Linked DNA regions of Bombyx mori. The protein of the gene in region 1 interacts with the protein of each later gene in a pairwise test. Links are inferred from orthologs where the notes say so. Each region holds a gene or a part of one and is shown in the gene's direction. Other genes may lie near its edges.

Evidence for each region. The genes of interacting proteins can lie anywhere in the genome.
Region 2: the proteins of potential E3 ubiquitin-protein ligase ariadne-2 (region 1) and UBE2L interact in a two-hybrid assay, tested with the Drosophila melanogaster proteins (2 studies listed by BioGRID). The link is inferred for Bombyx mori from reciprocal best matches to the Drosophila melanogaster genes ari-2 and Ubc10.

Annotation. Positions count from the first base shown.
Region 1 is NC_085111.1:10,061,307-10,065,067, forward strand, and holds the start of potential E3 ubiquitin-protein ligase ariadne-2, read left to right. Parts: upstream 1-1,165; 5' UTR 1,166-1,392; exon of another isoform or gene 1,393-1,586; 5' UTR 1,587-1,617; coding exon 1,618-1,839; intron 1,840-2,113; coding exon 2,114-2,357; intron 2,358-2,944; coding exon 2,945-3,120; intron 3,121-3,490; coding exon 3,491-3,676; intron 3,677-3,761.
Region 2 is NC_085122.1:5,771,364-5,775,124, forward strand, and holds the start of UBE2L (ubiquitin-conjugating enzyme E2L), read left to right. Parts: upstream 1-960; 5' UTR 961-1,131; coding exon 1,132-1,158; intron 1,159-1,436; coding exon 1,437-1,532; intron 1,533-1,969; coding exon 1,970-2,156; intron 2,157-3,761.

The DNA of each region.
Region 1 (3,761 bases):
ATTTAACTGACTTCGACTATATTGATAACTAGCTTTTGCCCGTGACTTCGTCCGCGTGGAAGTTACTTTGGGCCACTTTGGGGTAACGCAAAATTTTACCCGCGACTTCATGTACGTTGAAGATGAAAATATTTTTGAATAATAGAATGTTAATGAGCTATTTAAGGTACCAAAATCACGCTTTTTAACCAACTTCAAATGAGATATATAAAAAGGTTATATTGAGCCAACCTTAAAATATAGACATATGCTGTCGCGGACTTTCTTGTTAGGACTTTTAAAAGGGAACAATTTTGTACTACATTATTTGAGCGAAACTTTAACCGTTTCCGCAGCGCACGCAGCGGAAGCCCTCAAAAGAAAAAAGAAACCGTTTTTTAAACATACTTTGTTAGTGCTCCGCTCGAATTGGTCTTAGCGTGATGTTATTTAACCTATAGCTTTCATCAATAATTGGCTATCTAACACTGAAAGACTTGTTCAAATCGGACCAGGAGTTCCTGAGATTAGAGTGTTCAACCAAACAAACATACAAACAAACTCTTCATTTTTGTCAAATACCAACATGATCTAAACTGAATTTTCCTGCTGTTTTTTTCGAGTGTTTGAACGTATTAAATGTATTGCAAAGAGGTTTGTAGAGCCTAGCTTAAAGACTAGTTCTAGTTGAAGTCAAAGGTACTAAGTGCTTAATAAAAATTCTGTCAATGAGCGACAATGATTCGATAAATCCTACTTATCACCAAGCTAAACAGATTGAACCCAAGGGTAGTAGATTTCAGGGGCTAGAAGCTTCAAAGCCCTATGGTTAAATTGTATTTCGTTTTGACGATAGATCACTGGCAAGCTCAACGTTTTGCAGCAGGATACCCTTTTATACTAATATTTGGAGGTCGGACCGGTTGATTACATTTTGCATGAACGTTGTCAGACCAAAGAAGAACCTGGTGGGATCCGTTATCAACCAATTTAAAGTACTATTTCCAAGGAATATCACAAAATTAATTGACGTAATGTTTCTCTCTGTATTAGATTTACTTATTGGGACAAATACCAAAATACAAAAATCTGGAGTGCTTATGTTCAGAGCACACTAGTTATTCCTTGCGCAGAATCATAAATAATACGATTGTTATATAAAACGCAGTGTTAAGTAAAGTACATTATATGGATATATACTTAGACTAGTAATTACAGTCTTTAAATCGCAGTTAGCAAAAATAAAATAGGTTTTACACAAAACAGGAAATGCTTATAGTACCTAATTTTACTGTACATAACTATTTCAATATTAAAACATCTAGAATAATGAAGTCAAACCGCTATTAATTTTAAACCTTAGATCATTAATTTATGGTCTAACACAAAATTTTATTTGTGAAAAAAAATCAGGTACCTACTTGAGAATAATTAGTTTGTTTGTATCTAGTTCCTTATAAAGTATTGTTCATCATTTTGACAAGTGGAAGATCAATTCAATTCGTAATTCGTAGAGTGTACTTGTATGATACAAATACGAATACATACTATATATAGTGTGTTATAGTGTTTTTAAAGGTAGAAGACCAAAACACATTATTTCGTAGTAAAAAAACATCGTAAGAACCAAACTACAAAATGTCTGCGGAGTCTGATATGGAATATTCTGACAATGACGGCGATGATTATGATTACTACGGTGAACACGAAGATTGTGATATGGAAGTAGCCGATCGCACTAAGTCAGATCCTGAGTATTTTGTGTTTTCTTGTCTGAAAGTTGAAGAAGTGGAAAAATTACTCAACGAATCTATTGAATTACTTAGTAACAGCCTTCAGATAACACCATCACTCGCCAAGGTATTCCCAATTTCAGTGTAAAGCATTCTTTACATATATAAAACGAGAATAATTGTTACTCATCATGTACACAAAGTCATAGTTCATAAAGTGGTTATTTTCACTACCAAACCAACCTTGACAATTGAACGAATATTAGACCACATTATATTATACCCCCTGCTGTGATTTTATTGCGTAGGTACCTTGAAAATTTCCTAAAGTTACTGATTTTGATTAATCCATTTTAAGGGTTTCTATGATACAAAATTGTAACAAATATGCTGATTTTCAGGTAGCACTACATGCATATGAATGGAATGCTCAAGAAATAATTAACAAATATAAAGAAAATGCAAATGAAGTGTTGGTTTTCAGTAGGGTGAAGCCACAAGTGCCTTCACAAAGTATATCAAGCAGATCAAGTTGTGCTGTTTGTGCCAGCACACCTCAACTGCACAAGTATAGTGCACTAGCATGTGGACATTATTTTTGCAACGACTGTTGGGCAATGCATTTTGAAGTTCAAATAATGCAAGGTGAGTTTTAAGATATAGCTAAAATCTGTTTTAAAATGTTTATTTTTAAGGGATTGTAGAGGATAGTAATCCTAGAACATAACATATTTGACAGATGCCTGAATCTTACTTACAAAATTTTCAAGAAAATCTTACTTAACCACGCTTGAAAGGCAAACGTGACTAAGCAACAATGCGTGAACTTTACAGTAGACTAATTTAAAGTTGAAATACCTCAAAACAAAATTTATTTTAACGAATCTAGCTAGTAGCTGTAGGATTGAAATGATTTTAATAGACCTAGAGATATATTTTTTTTGCGCTTCGAATATGGTTATTGCCTATCATTTATGTACAAAGCAGTTAATGTTGCTTAGTCATGTTTGCCTTTCAAGCATCAATATGTACAAATTCTAGACAATAATATTTTGACTGACGGTCTACTGGATAATTTCACCTACCATATGCAAGATCATCCTTATGTCATTCATTTCAAAGAATGTTGCAGTGTTACAAATGACATCTAATTTTATAGTACTTGGGATTTTGAAATAATAAACGAAAAATATAAAATAACTAATTTTTTTGTACTCCATTTTAAATTTTAGGAGTCTCAAATACAATACGCTGCATGGCTCAAAACTGTGAGGTCAGAGCGCCAGAGGATTTTGTTCTGTCACATGTTACTAAACCAGCATTAAGGGACCGATACCAACAATTCATGTTTAAAGATCATGTTAAATCTCACCCACAACTTAGATTCTGCCCTGGTCCTAACTGTCAGGTTTGTTCCATTATTTTATTGAAATCATTGGAATTTTGTGGACAACATTTTTTTATAAATCAAATTTTTTGGACTACGTATCTCATTGATTAATTGGAATGATAAAAAGTAATCCAAAATTAATACAAAAAAACCTTCTAATAATGTAAAACAATACAAGTACTCAAAATCACAAATTACAATACAGTTTTTATATTATTAATATTATTTGAGCATTTTATAATACAAAACAATAAAAATCTAACTTGCTTTCTATTTTTAGTATCCTAATTGAAATGAATTTGGCCCAAGAAAGATTGAAATAAAAAAAAAATTAATGAATATCTCTCAACAAAAATAATACAATAAAACATTTGATTTTTACATTTAGTGGATTTTTCGAGCATTCATTCGTGAAGGAGCACGCCGTGTTGAATGCAAAGGTTGTGAATCATTGACATGCTTCTCATGCGGGGCTCCTCATCATGCTCCTACTGACTGTGCTACAATTCGACAATGGTTAACCAAATGTGCTGATGACTCTGAAACTGCAAACTATATTAGTGCCCACACTAAGGTATGGAAATTTTAGAGATTAAGCAAGAGATTAAGAAAATTTGCCATATGCAAATAATATTTGACTAACTGAGTACTTCCAGACA
Region 2 (3,761 bases), on another chromosome or scaffold:
TTAATTTATATTCTTATTTTTATGAAAAATGATAATAATATGTAGTGAAACGAAATGAAATGAAGATGATTAATTTGAGATATTAACCAATTGGGATGAAATGACATGATATGGGATGAAACATTATCTTAGTAAAATGGTGGTCATTTACTGAGATTTTTTCAGTAGCCTTTTTGGAGGATCCCGAGAAGTTACGTCCAGAGGCTTTGTTTCATTTTCCCACATTTGTGCACTTTCACAAACATTAAACAGATAATAAACCACCGTTATTACACATTTAAACCTGAAGAAACACTAAATAGACAAAATAAAACAAATCACACAACTTTACTCCTCGCGCTCCCGCCAAAAAGTCAATGGCGGTTAAAGGTAGGGAGAAGCATAGACTAACAAGAAATGAGCATTAGCTGTAGTAACCAGTACGTTATCAGCACCAGTTATAATATATTAATCTGTAATACAACGTAGATCGCAGAAAATACAATCGCTACAAACCAACATCATTAATAAAGCGTTTGTAGAAAATAGTGCATTGAACAATTTTGATTTATTAGTTGGATATAGTCCCTGTTTTCCAATTACAGCACAAGAGCGCATTATGCAGCATAATGCTCAACGTTGAATGTTTCCACTACAGCAACGTTTCGCACAATCGAGCACTCCCAAAAGTAATGCTCTAGCGTGATACTCGCAATCGATACCGACTCGATTGAAACATTAACCATTGAAACATTCAACGTTGAGCATTATGCCGCATAATGCGCTCTTGTGCTGTAATTGGAAAACAGGGAATAGCTTTATTAAATATATTTTTAATAACTTTATTAGTGCTCTTTTAACTCTTGTTACAATCAATCAACAATCATATTATTTTAAAAGACCGGTTTGCATCATAGCCCCTTAATTAAAAAAAATAGGTGGCAACACTAAATAAAGTTTAGTACAGTCACCGATCACCGTTTTTCTGTGATAAAATACTGAATTCATTGACGTTTTCCATGTTAATTCAGTTTCTTAATTTCTATTGTGCTGCGTAATTATGGTGTTTGATTGGAATGACAATTAATCGATTTGAATTTTAAAAAAGAATACCTTTGGAATATTTTGGGACATTTTAGCAAATTTTGTACAATGGCTGCAACGAGAAGACTACAAAAAGTAAAAAATATATTTTGTATTTCATTGATACTTTGGGACGAATATATATTTAAACCACGTATAGTTTTACCCGTAAATTTAACCTAAAAGTTAATTACGAAAGTTTGTTGCTGTACGAATTGTCAAATCTGCTTAAACACTTCATGTAGTAAATCAATCAAATCGAGAGAATGTCACAAACCTAAAATAGTTATTACAACGAGAACAATTTAAAAAAAGTATATTTTCAGCAACTTTCTCCCATTACTGTCATAATACTACACAATAATATTTTTTAGGAACTTAATGACATCAGACAGTCTGGCCTGAAGTCTTTCAGAGACATACAGGTTGATGAGTCCAACATCTTAACATGGCAAGGTCTAATTGTTCCAGTAAGTAACCATTGATTTAGTAGTGAATTTGTAATTTTTTTTTATAGATATTTTAATATATTTACACAAAGAACAATATCAGTAAATTATTGTTTCAATTAAATTTATTCAAAATTATTGTCTCATGTATTCTGATCAGAAAGAAGGGGTATCCCATTATTGTAATGCAAGTGTTCAAGTTCAACCTTTATCAGGGTGTACTTTTAGGTATGGATTTCAATATCTGTATAATGTTAGGTGAGTCATGAGTTATGTGCTAGAACAATTTTGTGTGATAATGTATGTATTTGTAGTCTTTCATGGTCAGATGTATCTAATAAAAAGAATCTTATCATGTAAAACAAACATTTTGATTTAGTTGTCATAGGTAAAAGATCTTGTCTGTTATACACTCCCCAAGTGATATTTTTAATTAATAACTAAATATTCTCTTTTAGGACAACCCACCTTACAACAAAGGTGCTTTCCGCATTGAGATTAACTTTCCAGCAGAATACCCATTCAAACCCCCGAAAATTAGTTTCAAAACAAAGATTTACCACCCTAACATTGATGAAAAGGGTCAGGTGTGCCTGCCCATCATTAGTGCAGAAAATTGGAAGCCTGCTACCAAGACTGATCAAGGTAAAGTAGTGATATGTTAGGTCCATAGAATATCTAAAATATTTAAATAAAAGTGAATATAACATTAAACCCAAAATAAATGTTTGTTACCCCAATCTCAGAGAATGAGGTTTATGCGGAATTACACTACACTACACTAACATCTGGAACAGGAATTCACAAAATGGGCAAGATAACCTCTTTTACAAAACATACTCATGCCTCAGACTACCATTGCCAAATTACTTTAAATACTCTAACTTGCAAAGAAAGGGAAAGCACAGGCTCAGCAAAAGCTGGAATTTGCTAACAACTGCCTGAGTGCCTCTGAAGGAGATCTAACTGCTCCAGGATATGGACCTGTACACTCTTATCAATTTGTTGAGTTTTTTCAAAGTACAATTAGTCATTCTTATAACAAGTTGTGACACATAACACAATTTAAACAGTATTTTGAAAATTTCAAATAAGTACTTCTGTTCATTAATAGAGGTCAATTTTTAGACCTGTTTATACAAAATAAGTTTTTGCTTATGTCACCCCTGGAAAACTGATATTGGCTCTTTTGGAATTCTCTCATCTGTACATTCATTTGTAAATAAATATCTTATTCAGGAACACTACTGTTCAATAATACAAGACAAAGCCTACAGAACCCGGATTTTATTTTTTATTGTTAAGAAACCCTTAGATTCGAAGCTTAAGAAGGTCTTGAACAAAAAAATACTTAAAGTATGGTTTGCCAATATTCAGATAATTATCTAATCTTACAGCCATAGAGTAAGAATAAGATAATGCCTTATTGTACACTTAAATAAAATTACAAAAGTATAGATCAGACAACTGTCAGATAGTGAGAATCAAAAACGATATAATAGTAGATTCTGGTAGGTCTGGCATAGGGCAATTCTGTCGAAGCTACCATCTTACGGAATCCCCGAGGGTCTCTGCAAGTGGATCGCTAGCTTTTTGGGTGAGCGGAGCATCACGGTCGTTGTAGACGTTGACTGCTCTGACCATGACCATTAACGCTGGCGTTCCACAATGTCCGGCCCTCCCCACGCTTATCCTGTATATCAATGACAATTGACGGCATGCATCGCTATGCGGATATCAACACGGGTGATACGCGATATATCGGCCTCAGAGTCTCTCTCGGAGCGTGGTGCAAGAGGGATGTTCAAAACTTGTGTCTGAAGTGGAGAACTTTCTGGGGCGAGTCTCCGAATGGGATGAAAGTCCGAAAGTCAACCCGTTAAAAACACAAGTTTGCGCGTTCACTGCAAAGAAGGACCTCTTTATCATGACGCCTCAATTCCAAGGAGTATCCCTGCAACTTACCTTAGAGTATCGGGATACTTGGGGTCGACATTTCGAGCGATGTCCAATTTCGGAGTCATTTGTTGGGCAAAGCCAAGTTGGCATTAAAATCCTGGGAGTCCTCAACAGAGCGAAGCGGTACTTCACGCCTGGACAGCAAAGACTTTTGTTTTATAAAGCACAAGTCCGGCCTCGCGTGGAGTACTGCTCTCATACCTGGGCCGGGGCTCCGAAATACCAGCTTCTTCCATTTGACTCCCATCAAGAAAAGGGCCGTTCGGTTTGTCGATAAACTCATTCTCACGG